Drosophila melanogaster: one gene and its partners. The protein of the gene in region 1 interacts with the protein of each later gene in a pairwise test. Each region holds a gene or a part of one and is shown in the gene's direction. Other genes may lie near its edges.

What was found.
Region 2: the proteins of pix (region 1) and SmydA-3 interact in a two-hybrid assay, tested with the Drosophila melanogaster proteins (one large-scale study listed by BioGRID).
Region 3: the proteins of pix (region 1) and raw interact in a two-hybrid assay, tested with the Drosophila melanogaster proteins (one large-scale study listed by BioGRID).

The regions. Positions count from the first base shown.
Region 1 is NT_037436.4:8,968,686-8,976,499, reverse strand, and holds pix (pixie), read left to right. Parts: upstream 1-1,734; 5' UTR 1,735-1,843; intron 1,844-2,082; exon of another isoform or gene 2,083-2,152; 5' UTR 2,153-2,153; coding exon 2,154-2,366; intron 2,367-2,428; coding exon 2,429-3,039; intron 3,040-3,098; coding exon 3,099-3,815; intron 3,816-3,872; coding exon 3,873-4,167; 3' UTR 4,168-4,444; downstream 4,445-7,814. Other genes in the region: Srp68 (signal recognition particle 68), read right to left, coding at 1-42, 101-763, 826-1,175, 1,280-1,376; CG5026 (uncharacterized protein), read right to left, coding at 5,320-5,397, 5,454-5,551, 5,605-6,017, 6,077-6,552, 6,615-7,002, 7,073-7,323, 7,427-7,585. UniProt on the Drosophila melanogaster protein: Plays a role in translation initiation and quality control of translation. Together with pelo and HBS1, is required for 48S complex formation from 80S ribosomes and dissociation of vacant 80S ribosomes.
Region 2 is NT_033779.5:10,846,708-10,856,274, forward strand, and holds SmydA-3 (SET and MYND domain containing, arthropod-specific, member 3), read left to right. Parts: upstream 1-3,433; 5' UTR 3,434-3,552; exon of another isoform or gene 3,553-4,141; intron 4,142-4,533; 5' UTR 4,534-4,624; coding exon of another isoform or gene 4,625-4,980; intron 4,981-5,655; 5' UTR 5,656-5,810; coding exon 5,811-6,178; intron 6,179-6,402; coding exon 6,403-6,732; intron 6,733-6,845; coding exon 6,846-7,072; intron 7,073-7,126; coding exon 7,127-7,725; 3' UTR 7,726-7,897; downstream 7,898-9,567. Other genes in the region: Porin2, read right to left, coding at 1-191; porin, read right to left, coding at 1,161-1,461, 1,534-1,761, 1,837-2,156; Dnz1 (DNZDHHC/NEW1 zinc finger protein 11), read right to left, coding at 8,480-8,750, 8,948-9,391, 9,456-9,567.
Region 3 is NT_033779.5:8,735,958-8,743,490, reverse strand, and holds the start of raw (raw), read left to right. Parts: upstream 1-2,830; 5' UTR 2,831-3,077; coding exon of another isoform or gene 3,078-3,106; intron 3,107-7,533.

The DNA.
Region 1 (7,814 bases):
TTGTTGAGACTGCAGGTTGGGATCGTAAAAGTTGAGCTTAGCCTGGGGAGGAAATATTTTTGCATAAGATAACCAAGTAACGTTGTGTTTACGAGCCTACCTGTTCCACTAGGCAAAGATTACGCTGCAGTGTACGGCTATGGCGAATATAACTTAAATATGCCAGTAGATATTGTACGCCGGATACGGTCTGACCGGTGGTTAACGAACGCAGCTTGGGATCCTGTTTGATTTCGTCGCGAACGGCCTGGATGGCATCCTTGCAGTCCATCAAAATACGCTCAATCAATTCTATCTTGGCATCCTGCTTGGTGGTCTTGGCCAGCGACTTGTCCAACTCCTGAGCACTGAGCAGGAACAAACGCACCTTCTCCGGACGCACGGTGACCTTGCGACCGCGCCAGTCGATCGTCTGCAGGCCCTCGCTGCTCTCCGTCTTTGTCTGACTGACCAGTACGTCAAGATTCTCAAGCACTCCCTGAGCGCGCAGCTCCAGGATCTCGTCGATCTTGCCGCCACTGGCGCCACCGCTGATGTTGTAGGCGCAGTAGCGCAGATTGGGCGTAAATTCATTAACCTTAGCGCGGTAAAGCTCTTGTTCATCTTCGGGCAGAGCCTTGCCCAGGTTTTCGTACACCACTTGGGCGCGCTTTAGGTGCTCGCCAGCGGTTTTCCATAGCTGCAGCTCAAAGTGCAGGGTTCCGTGCATCCAGGCAACATAGGCTTCGCACTCTAGCTTAGTGCGCGCATCGAAAGCCTCCGTCTACAAGAAAATTATAAATGAAGCTCAATAAACATTAATCATAACAGTGAGTTACAGCTTACATTACACAACTCCTGGAGCTGGAGGGCATAGAAACAGGCCCTGCGCAGCTTGTTGACCAGATGGAAACGCTTTCGCGGCTCCGTATTGGACTCCTGCTTGAGCTGCATGGCATACGCCCAGGCCCGCTCGGCGCAGATCAATGGGATGTGGATGAAACGCTCGTCCGCCTTCTTGCCTGTCAATTGGCCAATGGTCACGTCGCGTCTTTTGAAGTGCCGCTTGTCGCCCTGGGGGTACTTCAGGGCCTTCCTCAATCGACGGATGCGGCGGCTGCAGTATCCGCGGTACCTCTGGAAGTCGCCGTGGCGCAGGCCGTGTTGTTGCTGGGCATCCTTAATCATGTGCAGAACTGCAGCAGGAGTGAAAGTTCAGGGCATTAGCATTAAATTTTAGGTTAAATGGTTGGGCGTCTGGGCCACCTGGCAGTTGGCTGTAGGCGATTGGGGCACTTACTCTCCACCGTGAAGATCTTGGAGGGCTCTGCCACCGGAGCAGTCTCCGTCTTTTCCTGAACGTCCCCAGTATTTGGATTATCTTCTTGCACGACCATTTTCTTAGCAGTCGACACAAATCAACGACGTGTAAAAATTAGTGATTGCAATTCCAATGGGATTGTCAAAAACACTAAATAATCGATATTATTAAGAGCGGCTCTTGTGCGATATATATTTATATTTATTTATAGGATATATTATCAGTTCGGAAATTACATGTTCCTATATTGAGAGATAGAAGTTATAAATTTTATTTGATTGTCACTAAGCTTACTTTAAATAAAATCCCTGAAACATTATAAAACTTATGTTATGTAAAAATAACTGCACAAAACAATAAATAATTATAAACATGCTATACGAAATTCAAGCCCACTTATTGATATCGATAGTTTCAACGGCGCATCCCTATTCGTAGTAGTGTTGAGAAACTCATCAAAGCTCCCCCCTTTTGAAACTTGTTGGCTGACACGCAAGAGCGTGCGTTCTGTCTGTTTTACAACAATTTCGGCCAAGTTCGCAGGTAAATTTCAAATATTTCAGCACTCTGTCAACGTGAAATTTAAGAACAATGCCTGACGCATGAGAGACAATAGAAATTTATGGTGGAAACCCATTGTTTTGGCCACGCTTTGAGGTTATACTTTCACTCACTGACAAACGCTGGCACCTCACCCCCGCTCTTGTGTCCATGAATCGGTGCACCAGTTTTGTTTTGACGGTCGGGGATGGTGATTTGCAACGTTGACAATGGACTGATTATCATATAGGCGGCTGATTAGTGGATCGAAGCCAATTCTGTTTAATTTGCTCATTTGAAAACTATCAACAGCATGTCGCGCAGAAAGGAGAACGAGGAGGTGGACAAGCAGACGCGTATTGCCATCGTCAGCGATGACAAGTGCAAGCCCAAACGGTGTCGGCAGGAGTGCAAGAAGACCTGCCCAGTGGTGCGCATGGGCAAGCTCTGCATCGAGGTGACGCCCACGTCCAAGATAGCCTCGTTGTCCGAGGAGCTGTGCATCGGTTGCGGTATTTGCGTCAAGGTGGGTCAGCTTACCTACAACTGCTGTAGTTCCCGGAATAACCCGTGCTTTCAATTCCCCAGAAATGCCCCTTCGAGGCCATCACAATCATCAACTTGCCCAGCAATCTGGAGAAGCACACAACGCATCGATACAGCAAGAACTCCTTCAAGCTGCATCGTCTGCCCATTCCGCGTCCCGGTGAAGTGCTCGGTCTTGTGGGACAGAACGGTATTGGCAAGTCGACCGCTTTGAAGATCCTCGCGGGGAAACAAAAGCCGAACCTGGGGAAGTACGCCAATCCGCCCGACTGGACGGAGATCCTTAGCTACTTCCGCGGCTCCGAGCTGCAGAACTACTTCACCAAGATCTTGGAGGACAATCTGAAGGCGCTGGTCAAGCCGCAGTATGTGGATCAGATCCCCAAGGCGGTGCGTGGCGCTGTGGGCGATCTTCTGGATAAGAAGGACGAGAGGGAGCTGCAGACTAAGATTTGTGAAATGCTGGATCTATCGCACATCCGTGATCGTGAGATCGCTCAGCTTTCTGGCGGAGAACTGCAACGCTTTGCCATCGCCATGGTATGCATACAGAATGCAGACATCTTCATGTTCGACGAGCCGTCCTCGTATTTGGATGTTAAGCAGCGTCTGAACGCTGCCTTGACCATTCGATCACTCCTGCATCCCACCAAGTAAGTTGATGAATAATGTGCCATTGTTTAAAATTATGACGTGGTTCTGTAATATGCAGGTTTATTATTGTGGTGGAGCACGATTTGTCTGTGCTGGATTACTTGTCTGACTTTATATGCTGCCTTTACGGAGTTCCCGGCTGCTACGGTGTGGTTACTATGCCTTTCTCTGTGCGCGAAGGCATCAACATTTTCCTCGATGGCTTTGTGCCCACCGAAAACATGCGATTCCGCACTGAGTCACTTACTTTCAAAGTATCTGAGTCCGCTACGGAGGAGGAGATCAAGCGCATGAACCACTACGTATATCCCGCCATGGTCAAGACCCTGGGCAAGTTCGAGTTGACGGTGGAAAAGGGTCACTTCAGCGACTCCGAGATCCTGGTGCTCCTGGGCGAGAACGGTACAGGAAAGACGACGTTCATTCGCATGCTGGCCGGTAACCTCCAACCCGATGGCGAGGTGGAACTGCCTATGCTGAATATTTCCTACAAGCCCCAGAAGATTTCCCCGAAATTCCAAAATCATGTTCGCCATTTATTGCACGATAAGATTCGTGACGCCTACGTGCATCCTCAGTTTATTGCCGATGTTATGAAACCCATGAAAATTGAGGAAATCATGGACCAGGAGGTGCAGAACCTTTCCGGTGGTGAGTTGCAGCGAGTCGCCTTGGTCCTGTGTCTTGGCAAGCCAGCGGATGTCTACCTCATCGACGAACCCTCTGCCTACTTGGATTCAGAGCAGCGTCTGGTGGCCGCCAAGGTTATCAAACGGTATGTTTTACATAGACTTTAAATCTGCACACAAATATTGATGGTATCTCGTTTTAGTTACATTCTGCACGCCAAGAAAACTGGATTTGTGGTGGAGCACGATTTCATCATGGCCACCTACCTCGCCGACCGTGTCATCGTGATCGAGGGTCAGCCTTCAGTGAAGACGACAGCCTTTTCGCCGCAGTCGCTGCTAAATGGCATGAACCGCTTCCTCGAACTGCTTGGTATTACGTTCCGTCGCGATCCCAACAACTTCAGACCCCGCATTAACAAAAACAATTCGGTCAAGGACACAGAACAGAAACGCTCCGGCCAGTTCTTCTTCTTGGAGGACGAAGCCTGCAACTAAGACAGGATCACGGGCAACTTCGATGGGACAGCTCGTTTCTCTATGTTCTCCTCAGCTTTCCTTCGTTCATTTTGCATTCTTTCGTTGAAGAACACATTTGCTTTCAAATTAATTTGTTATTGTTGTCGAGGATTGCGTACAATCGAAAATTGGGGATTAATTGTACTTGATTAAAGTGAGTTTTATATACGTTTTTACAGCGAAATAAATAGTGAACCGAAACAACAGAATGTTGTTTTAAATGAGTCTAGCAAAAATAAACCAATTTTCTTTATACAAAACTGCATTTGAAAGTTCTTTTTTCTAAAGTGGTGCTCATAGAATCCTGCGAGTTTAAAAGAGCTAACGTTTGCAAATTAACACGTATTTATTGCACTTAAGCGATAATTACTCAAAATACGCACAATACAAATGTAAATTACATACAAATTTCTGTCATTTCAAATTTGATCACAATACGAAATCGACGCACAATGAATAACAGCTACAAACATTTATAAGTATATAATTTACAATATTTGTTTTTAGATATACCAACGCATGCACAGCATATTTTTAATGTAAACGCTTTTGAAGCTTTAAATTTATGCGATTTAATCAAATTTACATACAATTTTTCGAAAAAGGCAAATCTTTTGAGTTTATAATACTTAATTTGATCTGTGGCTTGTTGACCACTAAATAACTGACACAAGTAAGTACTATAAATAGGTAATTTTGGAGACTTATACGCTAAAAATTCCATAAAAGTAAATGCGTCAAAAATTGACCCAAATATTTGATAGTTGCATTGTGCTGTTTCGAATCCCAATCTGAGTCTGAGAGTAGAGAGCGTTTTACAAGGAGAGTTTTCTTACTGTTTTGCCGAACTTATGCAATAGAAGTATAGTTAGTAAAAATGGACACATGTATGTCTAAAATTGAGTGTTTCAGTTGATCCAAAAGCAGATCCTATGGTTTATCCAATAATTTAATTACCTTGTTTATTTTCTTTTTCCTTCAGCATAATTTCTTGTAAATGGAACTTTTAGTGACTTAACATTAGTTTTGCTATGTGCTTAAATAATTGTCGAAATCTTGCAACAGAACGTATCAAAAATAAGTGTATATCATGCAGGAGATTAAAAGATAGAGAACATTTGAGGTAGCCGACTATGTATCGTTTCCACTTTTCATGAGGTTGGACACTTCCTGGCCGAGCTCCATGGCTTGTTTGCGCAACTTGAGGGCCTGAAAGATACATGTCATCAGTAAGCATTTCGCTATCAATACTCAAGTGGACTTACCTGAGTCCTGAGTTCCTTCTCGCGGGTGACAAGTTCCTGAATTTGCGACATGACTGTGACTGAGCTGCGTTGATCTATCACCCACCGCAAATAGAGATCTAAAATGCATGTTTGATGAGTAATGTTTCATATATTAAGTTCTTAAACATACCACTCCACAGCTCTAAGCTTATGGGCGCCACCGATGGCCATATCACATTGGCATTAGGCTCGTACAGCGGATTCAAGAATGTCTGAAGGACATCAGGCCGGTTCAAATAAGACCACAGGCTCGTCGTCCTGGTGTGCACATTCAGTTCGTTTCTCTCCCGCTCTGAATCGCACAGGAAAGTTCCATACTGCGAAAAGTGACTGTGCTCAAATAGAAGGATCAGCAGTTGAGTGCTGAATTCAAAGCTGCAGGGGAACTGCGTGTAAAGCTGATAAATGCAATCCAGAAATAGGACGAAGGTGGCACCAGAGGTCTTATTGCGTGTCTGATTTGGTGTATAGCATGAGTAGCGATGACGCGAGGCGAACGGATGTCCCGCCTGGATCCACTCGCGCTCTATCAAAGCCTGCAGGCTGCAAAGGGAACACGGCATAAATATCTTTTTCAAGGTAAGGAGAATATGATTACTTACCCCCTTACAGTCCGGCAGTCCGGATTGAGAATGATCTGCACCAGTGAGGTGACTATAAGCGTGGAGTCCAACCCCTTAGCACCGTGCACTAACACTGGACTTCCCTCTTGGTCCAGGCATTGGGCCACCACACAGGAGGCGTTCAGTGAGTTCAGCACAAGACTAAGCCAGCCGCTGTTCTCCAGTCGCGATAGCCATTTATCAGTACTGCATCCCAAATCGTTGCAAGCTTCGATAAGCCGAGCAAAGCTGTCCAAAATAGAGGCGGGCGAACTGACGTTTCCAATTGAACGATTTACCTTCTTCCACTGCGAGTAGTGCAGGTCAGTTTCCGTATTCGATTTGCCCTTACCCCAAGTGTCCACGATGAACCCCTTCCGACTGCGACCCAGCACCAGATTAAGGATAGCCTCGTCAGCTCTACAGCGCTTGATGCCCTGAATGGACAGCGGCTGGGAGCTGCGCATTAGTGTGGCCTGCAAATATGAATCATTGAATTAATTTAATAAAATTTGATGATGTAGATGCAATGACTTACGCCATTTTCATGCCTGTAGCTGAGCACGGGGAAGCGGCCGCCATCGCGGAACGCAGCGGAGAGCACTATCTGCTCGTCCGTAATTGCTTTAGGTACAATTAGCGTGGCGCCATATGTGGCACAGACGCTGAAGTCTCTGTTGACGTTGGTGATGCGCCACTCGCAGGAGGCCTGGGGACTTTGAAGCGCACCACCTCCCACACCACCAACACCACACGCAAGGGCTTCTATCGCATAGCCATTTTGCAGAGGATGGGGAATGCCGGCGCCCACAGTCAACGTCGATGTCGAAGTTGATGGCATGCAAATTGTTATGTTGGCCACATTCGGCGAGGACGCACCGCCCATGCCAACCCCGCTTATGAGTTTGGCGAACTCCAGCTCGGGCCTGTCGTTTGGATGGGGAGGTTAATTGAATTGTAGCCAATTTGTTAGTTATGGAGAAGCCGTGTACCCACCTAAACATCGTGTAGCCGTCCTCTAGGATCGAGTACATGGGCCGGTAGAAGAATGGATAGAGCAGTTCGGTGTTCTGGATGGCACTGAGTGCCTCCAGCGATGCGGCCACGTTGAAGAACTCCTTGCCGCACTTTATCTCCAACGAAATGATGCGCAGGTCCTTGCACTTCAGGGTGATAATCCCACCGACCACGATATTCTGCGACAAACTAGGCTTCTTCTCCACACAGTCGATGTTCTTGTGGAGCAACTGAAAAGAGGGGGATGAGCATGATGAATTTCTAATTCAATTATGAGCGCTCCACTGATGCCGAAGCACATCGGATTAGGTGGGCAGGCCTCAACCCACTTACCCATAGCTCCTGGCTGGTTTCCTGGCGGGCGCTGAGCAGCAAATGGTGCCCTGTGATGCACAGTGTGCCAACTGTTGCACCCGACGCCCCCGCATTCGATGGGTCGTGCAGCAGGACACCGTCCAGCTTGGGGGTCTTTATAAGGTCGGCGAATTCCATGGTGTCGCCCTCGGCGGGGTGTCCGATTTGATTTGGCCCCCACTAATTAACTTTTTGCATTTTGCCCCGGCTATCTCCTGTTGCCACTTGATTGCTTCTGTCGACGCCGCCTTCCACCTCCGCCCTTCTTCGCCACGGTTATCCCGCCTTTCGAGTCCCCTTTTTTGAACCCACAGCAGTGCGTACGTCACCGGTTCTGGCGGGGATTTGGCGGACTTACGGCACTGCT
Region 2 (9,567 bases), on another chromosome or scaffold:
TTGTACTTGCTCTGAAGCGAGCCGGTCACCTTGCTGTTGTCCTGGCTGGCGAAGCCGGTGGTGAAGAACTCAATCCCCGAATTGGTCAGGGTCTTGCAGTCGATCTGCCAGATGCCCGGATGGTAGCCGCGCTTGAAGAGATCGCGGGCCAGCTTGCCCAGATCTGGGTATGTCGGTGTTTTGGCGGCCATTACGGGCTGTATGAATAGGTGGTATGGTATATATGGCCCGACTAATTTCGAAATTTTTTGTCTACTTTTCAACAGCCTCGATTAGCCGAAAATTTATGTCTAACGCTGCCTGATCAGTATCGAGTTTTATACACGCTGGAGACCTGTGAACTAAAACGCACGGAGTCCTGTGCCCAACCGAAAAAGTTAAGTTTTTCAAGCACAAAGAACTTGGGATCAGTATAAGGTACTTATCTTATTATACAGTTTTTTCTTTCAAGCTTAAATCCTTAAATTAAGCTAACCATTCCCAAGCCTTCCACCACCAACGCTGCAATCAAGATAATTTATTTCTTCTCGATTTATTTCTCAGGTAAATGCACAACGAAAAGGTAAAGATTGTTATTAAGGATGTGATTTTGGTGTTATGTGTGTCCTAGTTTCGCCGCAGGATTTTGCAGGCAATCCGTAAAGCCTTGAGAACTGAAAAAAATGCAATGCCTTTTGAGCCATAATATTCCGTCTTTTCCATTTTGTTTTTTTTTTTCGTTTAATAGGTAAATGTATTTTTACTGCACTTTTGTCAACAACAATTTCGCTAATATTCAATGCACTAATCAAAGCTACATCCAACGACGACGGACTGACCTGACCGACCCATCGATTGCACCACCCATCCATCCCCCTGCATCGTTTGTTTGGCAGTGTCTCTCCTGCAGATTCGCGTGGCTGGGGCAGGGAATGGGCGGATGTGGTGATGGCCGGCTGACAACTAATCCAATCCAATCGAATCGCTAAGATGTGCAGATTCTCTTTATATTTGACTGTGTGTTGTTTGTTTTTAAAGAATATCGTATCTTTTATTTTGTTTGATCTTGTTGTTGTTTCTGCACTTGTCTGGCTGCTGTTATTGTTGTTGTTGTTGTTGTTGGGCGTGTGGGGATGTTAGACAACGTTCAAGGATTTCACGACTAGCGGAAAACCACGGACTTAGGCCTCCAGCTCCAGACCCACACCGATCTTGTGGCCGCCGGCATTGAAGTTCTTGCCATCGACCAGCGTGGACAGGGTCAGGGTGACTCCGTCGCGCAACTTCTGCTGGTAGCCCAGACCCACCTGGCTGGCGTTGTTCACCTTAGCGCGCACGCTGGCATCATCATCCAGCTGATACTTGGCGCCGATGGCGAACTTGGTGTTGCTGGTGCCGCTGGCCCACGACAGCTGTACACCCACATCCAGCTTGTCCGAAGTGCGTTGGAAGATCGAGCCGCTGAACTCCTGGCCATCGTTGCTAAACACCGGACAAGGCAATCATTAGTTTGCATTGATTTCATTTGCCATGCGTGGCAATTGCAATACTTACACAGCTGTGTGCAGAACAAAGTCCTTGGTGGTGTAGCCAAGGGCAAAGTTGTTGGTGGTCAGCTTGGACTGTTGTGTGTCAAATGCGGTCTGGTAGCCGGCCAACCATCCCTGGTAGCCAAGCACGGCAGAGGCATTGATCAAGGGGCCCTTCAGATCAATGTTCACATCCGAATCGGCCTTGACGTTCTCATGGCCGTAGGCAACCTTGAACTTGCCGTTCTTGTTTCTGACGATTTTTAATTAAATATGCAATATTAATTATTCTGCAGTGAACATATATGTAATAACATGTGATCCTTACCCAGACTGAGGAGCAAAGTTGCCCTCCAGGGACAGCTTCAGACCCTCGAGGAGCTGATCCTGGACAGCAACCTCGGTGAACAGCGTGTTGTCTGTGTTCCACTTCTCGGTGAGGGTCAGGCCGTAGTCCTTGACCTTGTACTTGGTCTCCAGGGAGCCGAAGACCTTTCCAGACTCCTGGTTGGAGTGTCCGGCTGTGTTGAACTCAATGCCCGACGAGGTCTTAGTCTTCAGATCGAGCTTCCACAGGCCAAAGTTGTAGCCTTTGCTGAAGATGTCGCGAGCCTGTTTGCCCAAATCGCTGTATGATGGAGGAGCCATCTGGAATGGATTGAAATGGAATGCATTAAATCGCACCTTCAATTAGTTGGTGAATAATCGATAATCATGACGATGATACTTATTGCGAAATCATTTCACTCGCCAGGTCATTAATTGCGTTTAGCGAACGATAAGTTTAATCTTATCAGCAACATAATGATTATTACTTTTTGCTCGACTTGATTTCAAAATGTTCTATCGGCCGCAAATGAAAAGTGAAAACTAAAAGACGCCAAAAAACAGCATCAACATGTCCCAAGAATTTCGAGGGCTTTTTCCCCATTTTCACTTTGGCTAAATGTCAATTTTGTGCGGCGAAAATAAAGAAATCAATTTAGATTAGTGTTCAAGGCGGCCACATGCAAAGAATCACCAACTGAAGCAGCGAAAATTCTGAGTGACTGAGGAGGGGGTCAATGCACGTCTGGGCAAAATAAAGTGGCGCAAAAAATAGAAGCGAAGATAGAAAACAAATAGTGACTAAGTCTATTTTACTCCAAGAAATTAAGGGTTTTCTATACCAATGCAAAACCATTTAAATCAAAATTTATTTTTCAAATATTTTTATAGGTTTTTTAAACTAAAATTTTAATAAAAATACTGAGATTTTCCCTATTTATCTGGCCACAGGTTTGCCTCTCTCTATGTTTACGTTCCGTTCTTGCTGGCATTAATTGCTGGTCAGTTCAGTCCCGTTAGGCTAGCGATCATTGACTCAGAAGCTAACTGCACATTTGCAACGTCTGCTGTGGTCACTGCTTCGCTGTTTCTATTTGCGTGACGTCAGGAATGCGACTCACAGTCGCGGTAGGAATATTAGTCGCGGATAAATAAATTTCTATCCGATATTGAGCATAAAAAAAATCAAACAAAAATAACCCAAAACATCTAATTGAAATTATTATATAGATATAACAATATAAATATTTCATGTTGTGTTCGGGGGGATTGGTGGGGGGAAACTCAAGGCAATCAAGGCAGAAAATTATGAAAAGCAGCGGCCAGCAGACAAAAATCTTTATGGCCGGCAGCCAAACGTTAAATGGGATGGGCTCTTATTGTTCCGGAAGTCAGGTGATATAACCTGGTCACTAGATGCTGAAAATAATACTATCAGGTGGATGTCCCGGTGAAAATGAATCAGCATCTCGTTGACGATGACCTTGACAAGCAGATTATAAAGGGGGTGGTTGGGTGGATGTGCAGCTCATTTTTTCGACAGTTGCATAACAGCAGGGAAATCGATGAGGGAAAGTGGAAAGCTAAGTGAATAGCTGCCCGAAAAGGTGGTCTATTGATTTTCCAGGTGACGTCACTGCGAAAATACCACCCACAATCGCGAAGTGCACCCACCTCCTCACATGACCACAAACAAACAAAACGACGATAAAGAACGGTAAAGAGTGAAATCGAAAATGTTTATTGAGCGAGCTGCACGCTGGTGGATGGCAACATGACGATAACGAACGGAATTGATGCGACATGCGTTACGTAACGGAAATTCGCCAGGCACTTTTCCATCGATCTCTCTGCTTCTTTGCCCCCTTTTTTCGCCGGCAGCTGCTGCCAATGAACTGCGAAGGCATTGGTGTGCGTGGACTGTTCATGTGTGGATGTGTGTGTGACAGCTAACCGGCTTAATATCCCCTTTAAATTTCGGATTTATCAATTAATTATTGCGTGATTTGGTGATAAGAAGCTCGCCCATCGTCATCCAACAAAAAAGTGCTCAGCCCTTTTGCTTTTCGTTCATGCGCGTGTCTACTTGCAATTTTTTCATTTCGAGGTTATGAAATCACTGGCACCGAAAATCCTGATTTTCCTTCTACCCATAGGGGTATCCATCACATTTCACTGAATTTTGAGGGGGTTTACTCCTGAGCTACTTACTTTTGATGAGTTTTAGTTTGGTTAGAGTGTAATGCGAAACGCAGAGGAACAGAGACACCACGACAAACGTACACCAAAAAATTTTGTAATTCTGTGCCTTAGTGTTACCAACCCTAAAAATTCGTCCAATAATTATTCCCTAAAACAAGCCGCAGATATACTATCTGGTAACGCTGCGTCACTCTTAATGGCAATGGTCACACTTTTTGTAACGGAAATTTGAAAACTAACGGTTACTTAAAATAATTATTGAAATTAGAATTCAATCATTCTATTAAGAAATTCGTTATCTTAAGAACAATTAACTTACATCAAAGTGTTTTTTTTTTACATAAAAGGGTTTCCTGCAAACGAAAACTTTAAAGTTGTGGACAAGTAAATGGGCTTTAAAAAAGTTATAATCCAAAGCAATCAAAATGCAATAAATATATTACAACTTTATTGATTGACACCAATGAAGTGTGTGCGATGCTCTTTTTATTTTTAGACGAATCTGCGTGCAGGGCCGCCAATCGACCGCATAATCCCATTCGGATGGGCCAAAAGCGAGACCAGTGCATTTGCCGTGCGGCGACAGAATGTTGAAGGCCCGTCTGCAGGAGGACGCCGTGCTGGGACGCTGCTTGGCCACCTCTAGCTCCGTGGAGCGGGGCGAGCTGGTGCTGGAGGAGCTGCCCTTCGCACGCGGACCGAAGCGCGACAGCGGAATCGTGTGCCTGGGCTGCTACCAGTTCCTGCAGTTCGGAGAGGACGGCGATTCGCTGGACCGCTGCGAACTCTGCGATTGGCCGCTGTGCGGATCGTGCGCCGACGACGAAGACGTCACGGAGCACCGCGGAGAGTGCCAGGTCTTCTCCGCCGCACGTGTCACTTTCGCCGGGAATGTGAGCGATGATGGCGTCTGCCCGCAGTTGGATTGCATAACCATATTGAGGTTAGTTCGCGGGCGCTCCAGCGGGGCGGGGGTGATGGTGCTGGGTACATCCGTACAGCAGGGGCTACTGGGTGCTACTAGGGGAACCTGGGCGGTCTGTCCGAATATTAGTTTTGGCAGCAGCGGCCCATTTCTCGCAGTTCGCAGGCTAGCCGGCATATACAGATTCTCATGGCGACTCTACGTCAAAGAAGGCGGACGGATGGATTAACAAGTCTGTGAAAGGGACAGTGGAGCAAATCGCACAGAAAATAAAAAATAAATAGCTAAATTTAAAGTGCATGAAAGTAAGGAGAAAATTATGGCATGAAACAAGCCATATTTGTACATATTATTATGACAGAATAATTGGTATATGATAGTTGCGGCGCGTTATGATCAATGTACCATCATGTTTTTATATATTTCGTAGCAAAACTGAACTGTAAGCACTGTGAATTATTATTTAAATAATGTTAAGCACATGTTTAAATAGATCGGTGCTTAGTACTTAGAAATAGAACTAACAAAGCCAAGCAACTTAAAAGTTACAAGCAACTTAAAAGTTACAAGCAACTTAAAAGTTACAACCAGTAAATTATTTAATTTATGAAAATGTAAGGTATTTTAGTTATTATAGAAATTGAACAATGTTTTCTCAAGACAATTTGTTCAAAACTAAAATTTCTCACCTAGGACCTCGCATGCCCACTGTGCCCAGCAATTTTGATGCTTTATGTCGGAGCAGGCAGAAATGTAGTCATGTAGTGGGGAGGAGGCATCATCTGTGGGGTGTGCCCATGACATGAGATCTGAGATCTGAGTGCGGCCAGCCGGCATCAGTCAGCGAAATGACATCGCCGCCAACGCTGTCGGTGAATAGGACAGCGGTTCAGTGGAGTCCGGTCTGCGGACGCTATCTGGTGGCCAAGGGAGCGATCCGTGGCCACGGTCTGCTGATCGAGGAGCTGCCCTTTGCCGTCGGGCCCAAGTGCAATGGACCGGTGGTGTGCCTGGGTTGCTACGAACCCAACCCAGATCCGGAGGAGGAGCTGTGTAGCGAATGTGGCTGGCCGCTGTGCGTGGAGTGCGCCCAACAAGCGGATAACGCCCATTTCCGCCTGGAGTGCAGCCAGCTGAAGGATGCTCGGGCACGATTCTTCCGCCTGCCCAGCGGCAGCAGGCACTGTCCGCAATTGGACTGTATTATGCCGCTCAGGTGAAGCCCAGCGGGTGGAACAAAAATAGACCACCAGGCACCAGGCAAACTGATAGCGTCACTATTTTATCCGCTCAAGATGAAAGTTATATACAAAAGGATTCATTAACAATTAAAAAAGAGAAAGATTTTTAATTTAATGTAGCTAATTATAATCAATAGGTTACTTGTTGTGCTTCATATGATTGTCATTTGGAATACCCTTTTAAACTTTCTACTTTCAGAGTTCTGTTGGCCAAGGAGGCGAATCCGGAGCGATGGGACAACGAGGTGGCACCCATGGAGCACCACAAGGAGGAGCGCCAAAGGGACGCGGATGTCTGGCATGCGGATCGCGTTAATATCGCTCAGTATTTGCGCGGTCCCTGCCAACTGGCCAACCGATTCAGCGAGGAGCTGATCATGCAGGTGGTGGGTGTGCTGGAGGTGAACGCCTTCGAGGCGCGCAGCCCGAAGGGCTATCCACTGAGGTGCCTCTTTCCCTATACCGGCATTCTGGCCCACAACTGCGTGCCCAACACATCCAGGAGCATCTATCCCAGCGAGGGATACAAGTGAGTTGTAAATAGATTTGTAAATTCAGTTCTCTAGTTCAAGATGTCTAGAATTACATTTCCGCTGTTGCACATCTAAAATAAGTCCTCCTATATTTGTTTCTCTTCCAAAGAATCCGACTGCGCGCCATGGTGGACTTGGAGGAGGGTCAGCCCCTGCACCACAGCTACACCTACACATTGGATGGCACTGCCCAGAGACAGAAGCACCTGAAGCAGGGCAAGTTCTTCACCTGCCAATGCGAACGCTGTCTGGATCCCACCGAATTGGGAACGCACTTCTCCAGCCTGAAGTGTGGTCAGTGCGCCGAGGGATTCCAAGTGCCCAGGCAGCCAACAGGTGAGCGAAAAAGATCCTCTAGAAAGTGATAAGCTGACCTTATCCACTACGCAGAACCGGACACTAGTTGGAACTGCGCGAACTGTGGCTCCGACACCAGCAATGCGGATGCACTGGCGATGCTCCAATCCCTGCAATCCGAGGTGAATGCCGTGCAAGCGCTGCCCATGGCAGCCAAGCGGCTGGAGGAGATCGAACGACTGTTGCGCAAGTACAAATCACTGCTGCATCCGCTGCACTTTATAGCCACCGGGCTGAGGCAGTTGCTCATCGAGATGTACGGGCGAGTACAGGGCTACGAGATGGTGCAACTGCCGGACCACCAATTGGAGCGCAAGGCGGAGCTATGCCGCCAAGTGCTGAGAGTGCTGAACACCTTCGAACCGGGTCTGAGTCGAACACGCGCCATGAATCTTTACGAGCTGCACGTGCCACTGGTGCTGCTGGCCAAAAGTGGCTTCATAGCCGGCAAGCTGAAGGGCGGCGAGCTGCGTGCCCGCCTCGTCGACGCCATAGATCTGCTGAAGGAGTGTGTGGAGATCCTGGAGTTCGAGGACAAGAGCTCCCAGGAGGGAGTGCTGTGCGTTGTGGCCAAACAGGCGCTGAAACAGCTCACACTGAGCGTCGAGGGACTGGGAAGCGAACTCGATTGATTGACTTATGCATATCGGTTAGCTTTATTGGGAACAGTTCTGGGTTTCTAGGGACACAAACTGCTGATGTTGGTGTTACATTTAAAATCTTATTGGTGCGCTGGTCGATGGTCGTAAATGTCAAAAGAACAATAAACTACAAAACTAAACAGTGATTACAATTATTACAAACTAATGATGCACAGTATTTTCTATTTGAGTGTTTAATCTCCGTTTTATTTCCTTTTTGGTATATGCGTCATTCTTCGGGTATATCGTAAATGCTTTTGATAAGGACTTAGTTTCTAGCTCGGTACATATTGCTATGTAGTATTGTATACAGTTGAGATTTTTCTACGTCTCAAACTAGAAGGTGCTGCTTACTTGGATACTGGTAAAAAATACACCGGGTGGCCAAAGAATGCATCGGTGTACAAATAATCAACGCAACATTCGCTGGCATTCTAAAGCAAGCAGCTGCAAAAAGTTACTTACAAAATAGCCGTGTTCATTTTGAGTATGCTCCTGTTGGCCGCCACGCTGCTGCTTTCTATGTATTTATAATTTTAAAACATTATAAACTAAAGCATAAATTAAGTTGGAATCTGCATATAATACACAAAACGAAATACGATTCAATTTGACTGGCTGCGGGCAGGGGGATAGGTCGTTTAAAAATAATCACACACACATTGATTAAAAACTAAAAACACTCGGGGGCTCTTTTAGCCGCACAGCAAACGCAAGGACAAAATATAAAGAATATTTCCTGACCCTAGACCTCGTGGCTCAGTAGAGGCGTATCATGGTAGCGGGAGGCATGATTGAGACTGGTGCAGGGCAGCAGCCACAGCGCCGGATGTCCGCGTCCGAACACATCCGCCAGCAGCTGGTACTTGCGCCGATTTGGACGATAGGTGCCCTTCTGCTGTATCGCCTCCACGGCCGTCTCGTCGTACAGAATCGCATGCAGCTGGTCCACCATGATGGCCGTAACGAACAGGCCGAACAGCGCCGACACCAGCATAAGGATAACCGAGTGAATCCTGCAACGGAGGGATATAAGTTATATATGACTCATAATACACTTTAAAATTGCGTGGCCAAGTAACGCATTCATTGTTTAAGAACTAACAAAGCACTACTTTTCCATCTTGCATTGCATTCCGCTTAGCATTCGATTAAGGCAAACCCAAATAAGGCTCTAGCTTCTGCTATTGTTGCTGTGGCATACGAAACTTACATTCGCAACTGGGTTTCGATCACGTTCTGGCTGCACTCCTCGCAGGGCCACACCCAGGAACCGACGATAAGGGCAATGGAGTAGAGCGACAGCAGCGCCACGTAGATGAGGAACTGCAGGAAGTACTTCTGATTGCGCTCGCCCACACAGTTGTTGATCCAGGGGCAGTGGTGATCCATGCGCCGGATGCACCGCTTGCAGATGCGACAATGATGGGCGCGTGGCGGCCTATACGTTTCGCAGCGGGTGCACACGGTCCATTCGCTGCTGTGTCCATTACCGGGCGGAGGATTGTTTTTGTTGGTCGTGTGCAGGTCGGAGAAGTCCAGACGATTGGCGGGCAGCGGCACAGTGCCTGGATCGGAGAACACGGCCTTGGAGTGGGACATGGCCAACAGGAAGACGACGGTGTTAAAGAGCACCACATGGAAGGACATCCAGAGGCTGTCGCCAAGTGGGTAGATATATATATAATGACGTCATGGTGCGTACAGTATGCATTACTCACCTGCCCGGCATGGTGGTCAGAATGATCCAACGGATGACCACATAGTCCGCGTACAGAACTGCTCCGTAGGTGACTACCAAGCAGGCGATGCCACAGGGATCTCGGATAAAAA
Region 3 (7,533 bases), on another chromosome or scaffold:
TAAGAAAAAAAAACGAAATCTTTTTGGCTAATACAATTAAACTGATAACTTAACTAAATCAAACAAGTCGCTCGACCAAAAACACCCACTGAAAAGTGTCGACCCTTTTTTTTCCCGCTGCCTTGTGGTTGTGGCGCGACTTAATTCCAAGTCCCCTGTTTTCCTCGAACTCGGCGAAGAGCTGTGAATCTAGAACTGAAAACTTATGTCAGTGGCACGCGTCTGCGGCACGTGACCCCGACATGAAAATCACTCTCAAGATCGCTGAGGATGGCAAATGGATAGGGCTGATGGTGACGAAGGAACTGGGCACTGAGTTCTGGGTGGTATTGTCCAAGTGATGGAGGTGATGAATGCCTGTGTGCAGATGCTTTTAAATTTAAATCGAATCAAATTGATTTGCGCACAGTTCCAGTTTCACTTTTTTACCCACGACCGCCTTACACTCGAAGAAGTCTTTAACTTAGAATCAAAGAGCAGGTGAAAAAAAAATTATTTAAAAAATATATATGTATATATTTTTTTTATATAAGCAACAATGTTAAATAATGTATTGTAGATATTGTAATAAAATATTATTTTTCGTATCAATTTGTAAAGTTTTCTATTTAAGATTTCGAGTTTTTCCTAGTAATATGTGGTATTAATCTTGGATATTGACAGGCACAATATATTCTGATAAAAATACTTTTTAAAACATAATTTTTTGAAGTGTAGTATCAATTGATATCGCCCTTTTTTGGAAAAGAAGAGTGCACCGTGCTCTGACCACGTCCCAGCTCCATTGTTTAGCCATTTGACAAGTGTTTTGACAATATTTATTTGAGTTGCTACAAGCCACGGCAACGGCCACGCCCACAGTCCCGCCCCCTGCGGCATACCACCCCCGCCTCCCTCTTCGCACACTAGAACCACTGCCGCTGGGTAATTTGATTTCCTCGACGCTGCCATCATCTGCATCCTTGACGTCGGACACGTTTCTGCCTAATGGAGTTGCTCGAGTGGCGTGAATTTCAATTAAATTAAATCAAAATGTTGCATTTTTTATTAAGCCCATTAGCGGCACACACGGAAAACCCGCCCCCTCAGAGGACCGCCCGCTGGCCCCTAGTTGGTTAAATTAAGTTAAGATACCACCTCGTCAGTGCGAAAAGAACTTGTATCTTAATGTGCATAATGAAGTGCCAGACTTGACTTGCCATCCAGGAACACCTGGATGTGCCAATATAAATCCGGTGACTGCACTGATCCTACTGCTGCGAGGAAAAGCTATCGGGAAAATCCCAGTTTAGATGAAAATGGGGCCATTCAATAACTGAATTGCTATTTTTGCTAGCAAAATGATTTTAAGGGATTTACTTATTCAATTCATAATTATTTATAAATAGCGAATTCTTAATTTATAGTTTTATATATACACACCTTTTAAATGATTTATGTAAGTTTCTTATTAATAGATATTTATTTACAAGAAAATGTTAAGGAAAAGGCTGCTGTTTTTCCGACTGTTTCTGCGAAAAGCCAAATATCAGTGCACAAGAAGAGTTGGTGGGCGAAGAAAAGTGGAAGTGGAGTTTCCTATTGTTGCACATGCATTAAGAGTAATGCTGCAGTGCTCGGAAAATGCTGGAAAGAGGGTGAAAATGCTACTTTGAGTGGCAATAAACAATGCATAATGAGTTGAGAGTCGCGTTATTATTGTTGCAGCCCGTGGCTGAGACTGTTCATTACTCAAACAGGTAATTTAAATTAAGCCAAAACAATACGCCAAGGTGGCATTTAAAGTAGGTGCAAAACGCATTTCGCCATTAGGAAATTGCCAATTAAGAAGCAAACACTTCTGGGTCCATTCATTACTGCAACACTTGCAGGCAAATCATTTAATTGTCTTTTAAAAATATACTTAAATCAGCAGAGGCGGCAAAGTATTACAAGTCTTCATGCACTTTCTCAGATATGACTAGCCACAAGCACTTAATTCTTGATATCACTTGGAAGTGGCACTTCCAAATCAAAATTATATACATTTAGTAAATAAGAACTATTCGAAAAGACATTTTTCATTTAAAAAGGGAACATTAAGATTTTACTAATTTTTCTATTATCTTAAAGAAAAAATTTTCTAATTTCCACATTCCGTATTTTGTTAATACAACATTTCATTAATAATAATGCAGATATACCCACGATGTCAGGATTTTAAAATAATCTTGAATAATTTGCAAAAGTTAGATCAGAGCAAATATAACATAGATTTAAATTTGTGATACTGTTACCTAACAGAATTTTACAATGTTATTGAAATGTTAATTTTAACACAAAAAAGTGCTCTTCTGCTAATTTTTACATGCACCCAAGACAACAACCATCGAATACAACTGAGTATACGTTCGTTAAAATTTTGGTGGCAACGCTTGTATTCCTAATCTATTAAGATGGCAAGGCTCGTTATCTGAAGAATTTACATTGGCAGCATCAAACATCATTAACTTTGAACTGTTATACAATGGTGCCAATGTAACTTTTTCTCGACAAATGAATTTTGTACTTATTTACCCAAGTGTATATGGAAACAATCAGGTACCGAAAATGTGAACTCTTACAATATATTTTACCTCTTTTTCATCTTAAGTTGTTTTTTTATAAAAGATATCAGCACTGCTGCAAAGACAGCATGCTTTAATATATAATATATATTAATTAAATAAGTTTCACAGTTTTTACGTGGTGTTAACCAACTTACAAAATTCACTCACAAATGTTAACATTCTGTACAAGCATTAGTGTTACCAAATACTCGATAGTATTTTCGCCGTTCCACCAGCTGGTCACACCAGAGACGAATTTAGAAATCTAAAGAGAACCCAACAGTTTCCTAATGCAAATACAATAAACTAATTGTTTAAAATGTGACAACAGTGAACCAAATGCTTGCTGAGTAATAAACCAAAGGATGTTTTGTTTTTTTCTAAAACGTGCCAAGTGAATCGGCTCCACGCAAATGAGAGTGCGGTCTGAAAACAATGGAGCTGCCGTAAAGAATTGATTAAACAAAATAGTCGAGAAGAGAGCGCAAAATGCACAAAATGGTTAAATTATTCCTCAGGTAATTTCAGTCCCAACAAAAACAGCATGTGCCAGATTGCTTTCGTGCTCTTATTGCTGTTGTTGTAGTTCTAGACTCTCTCTTTGCGCTTTAATATTATGAATGACGTAAGCGCGCCTCTTTGGTAGCAATACAAAAGCAATAACAACAATTTGGTTTTGTTGCTTTTGTAAACAAGGAAAATAACAGAATGGTTTTGTACCGCTCGCGTGTGTGTGTGCATAGGTGAGTGGGGAGCTCACTCACCTATGCACACACACACACAAACGCAGGTAAAAGTGGCGTCGTTGGATTTTTACTTGGAAAACGTGTTCGAACTATAAAGAGAAATAGTAAGAGAGAGCTGAGCAGTCTAGCGCTCTTTGCAATGTTATTTCTTTTTTTGGTCAATGACCTAAGCTTTTTCGTCCGTTAGTTGAATTCGTTTCTTTCGCCAATTTCCGTGCTTTTGTGTGCGAGTTAAAAAACTTGGTCTATTTTCACAAAAATCATTGTTTACACTTTGTTGATGTGTAGGTAATTTTCCCAGGCTTTCTTAGCCTCATTTTTCAAGAAAAGGAGTAAACACTAAGTTGGAGGCCAAAGTTGTGAATGGTAAAAAAAAAACGTAATTTTTAAAGAAATTTAAAAAAAAAACTGCCAGCAGTAAACAACGTACAAATCAAAAGAGAATAATTGAGAATACTATAATTAATAGTGTTGTATACATGAAATGTTCAAGAACTTTATTTCCCGAACACATAAAGCATGAAATGAGTCTTCATAGTGTTTCCTTATATCTCTGAAAACAAATAGTATATCACTCGATCATCCAATTGCCTTGCTGTTGTGACATCTTGACAGTAATTAAGTTTATGCACTCAATTGTCACAAAGCCGGAAACAAAAGTGCACAAAGATGTAACATGTTGGTACATTTTTTGCAATGACAACAGCACGCAAATTAGTAAACATTACCGGCCAAATAACAATGCACTGTTTGGAAAATAAAGTAAATATTATGAAATAAATATTATTGTTGTTATACAAAACAGAAAGCAATTACGGAGAAGCAGTAACTGCAGCACAGGTATATTTGCATTCGTGATAACTTTTTGGTAAATAAATTATCTAAGCAATAAAAATGTTTTAAACTTGTAGGATTTTATTTTGGCTTATAAACATAAATACACTTAAAAATAAGTTTTAGGTCGCTTGTTTCAGTTTGTTTCAGAATGTTTTAAGAGCACCGTATAAAATTTTCGAAATTTTCCACAATCTTGAACGGTACTTCTGCGTATTAAGATTAATTGTTTGGCCTTTTATCAGTCTATTTCACTGGAATAAATATTTAACTAGTACTCAGATTTTGTAGGGCACTCTATATGCGGTGTACTTTGCTGACCGAAAAAAAGAGAGATACAAATGTTGAGAATGCGAGGGAAAACGCTTTTGTGATCTTCTTGATTTAAAAATTTTAACGCCAGTGCTGACCGAGCAATTAAAATGTAAACAGGCGGGAAATGAATAAGCGTGCCAGGGAAAAATAAAATGAAATCCCAAAATATTTACAATCATGCAGCAGCAGTTGCACATAAAAACCCAGGAAGAGAAGAACGGAATCTTAACGTGTATGCTTTCGAAAATATACTTGTACCTTAAAATGGCAAATTGGCAATAAGAAACCGACGCGACATTAATATGGCTAGGTAAATACAAAGGCATCATTACCGAAGGTCGTTTTTGTTTGCGTGCGATAAACTTTTTTTCTTTCGACTTTATAGCAAATATTCACGCATACAAACAAACCCGAATGCTTCCCTGTGTTTGCGATTGGTATTATCTGTGTAGGCCTTTGTTATCCAACCATTTGCTTATCTGGGCACGGCTGTCAATGCGTGTGTTTGTGATGGATACTTGATTGAATTGTTGTCCGTATGTTAGCGCCTAAAAAACAATCGACAGCCGCTTATCAGCTGGCAGAAACATAAATAAAATTTCCTCAAACTGAAGCCGAAGGTAAAATGCTCTCTAAATCAATTGCTATTATTAAATAGTATTAGCTTAAGAAGCAAGAAGGTTACGTTTCAAGGGTATACAATAGTCGTTAGCCATGTCATCGTAAAGTCACTGCCCCTCCTCGCACACATTCAAACAGTTTGTCAATCAACCGACAATCGGTTGCCAATCAAACAACAAAAATTCGTGGGTGAGGTGAGTTCTAGATTTTCTTTGGTTAGAGGATGGGAAAATCTGTCTGAAAAGTGGGACAGCAATTGACTGACTAATCGAACACATTGTTTAAGTCAATTATTTCCATTTAAGCTACATGATTCGTTTCGAAAATATTTCACAGTATATGGATGTTTTGAATACTTAGTAAAAATATATAAAATTCGCAATACTTACTTTCAATGTATTTAAAATATCAATTGGATTGGACATAATTTACACTTGTTGCATTCCTTTAACCTTATCCACAAATTAACAAAGTCCAAATTGTTTTCCATTTGAAGTACAAATATTATTGTTTTGTATTTTGTTATCTTATCTAATTCTTCTGAAATGACAAGTTATCCAATAGCAAATATTTGATTACTACAAACTATATTGTAATTATGCAGTAATTTTGTTTTTCCCAACTAAAGATGTTAGGAAAATAGAAACAATCACAACTAGGAATCACTTTCTTATCTGCATCTTCTGTTGTGTTTTGTGTGTCAAGTATAAAAGTATCAACAATATGTTATCCCATTTTATCTCCTCCAATTAAATACCCAAAATAATGGCTACCATTGTTAGTACGTTCAAAAAGTGTAATCCGCGATTATCCGAAACCGCAATTAAAAATGTTTTCACCTTGTTCTCAACCCGTGGCCAGCAATTAATAAGGCTTAGATGGATTTTTGGCCAGCATACAACCCCAGATAACCCACAGTCGCATGGCATCATCGCGAAATGCTCATAAAAGGCGCGTCTATGACAGCATCTCCTCCGCTGGTGCCGTGCAAAATTGAGTATTTTTGGCCAAAACAACAAGCAGGGCAAATAATACACAAAAAAAAACCAACAAAAACCTAAAACAAAGAGCCCAAGCAAACGTCTTGGACATGTGCGCAAAAATCTTTTGAACTTTCGCATTCGAGGCGGGCGAAACAAGTGCCAAGAGCAAACCCTGACATACATTATAATTTGTAGCAACGCCCTCTTTTTTTCGAGACCGATTTTTTTTAATATAGATATATAGTTTTTTTGCGGCTATTTTGTTCACCTACACGCGCGCCTAATCCCATTTCGAGCGGCATCAATAAATTGTCGGCCTGGCAGATATAGCCAGATTTCTATTCGCATTTTTAGCTGTTCAAATAGGTGAGTTTTTTTGTATAGTATATATGGCCACCTATTTGGTAAATAGTCTTTAGAACGCCCACAACAGCTGTTGACACTCACCCACGAAATGGAAAAGGGAAACGCTATGGAAATAGCATTACCTGGTATTCCTATTTTTGGCCAATACCCAGGTGGATCCACAGAAAAAAGTCAAATTAGTGCCGAAGGGAGTCCCATCATTAGTTAGTCACCAAACTCTCGGTCAACTACAATCTATATTCGCATTTTTTCGGACATGAGTAACCGTGATAACTAGTAATTGGGAGCAAATCGGTTTGGACCCAGGTGACTAAGTCACTTCGATCCATAGAAATGTAAATGCACAGTCCGTTTAGGAAAGCTATGGTCTTGCAAACCAATCGACCGTTAATAATGAGGCCTCACTGTTCATTAACCCATTTAAATAAATGAATTTTTGTAAGTTTAACTCGTAAAATATTCTTGAAATTTAAAACATTAACGAAGTCCATTTAAATATTAGTATAATAAGATCCTGGACTTGGCAATATAATTTTCAAACGCACTATAGATTATGTTGACTTTCATTTGAGTTTCCATTTGATGGCAAAAACAAAAGAAAGCTTAAAAGAGAAAGTATCGATGCAAAAACAATGGTATCAATTTGTAAAATTATGACTTAAATCAAAGATCTGATAATGGCAACGTAATAAAATGGAATGAAGCAAATAGATATATTTGAATATATTGGGTAGATTGGGGTAAACGCAACTGCAGCTATGTTGAAATGATATAAATTGACTAGGTAATACCTGATAGTGAACCGTTTTCTAAATTTCTTAATTTGTCTTTTTTAAAAACCTTTTTTTTATTAAACCAATTTAAGATAAATTTATAAATAATTTGAATGTTTAAATGACCACCTTTATGTTATACCTTAATACCTATTATTATTTATTTATTTGGTGTGTAATCAAATTATTCCATCGCTTTGAATGACTTTTTGGCCTGGTCAACGAAAATTATAAAACAATCGAGAGTTGCCCACGCGCAAAGTGAGTTCGGTGGCGTCTTCCTACTCAATTAGGCGGCATTGGTCGA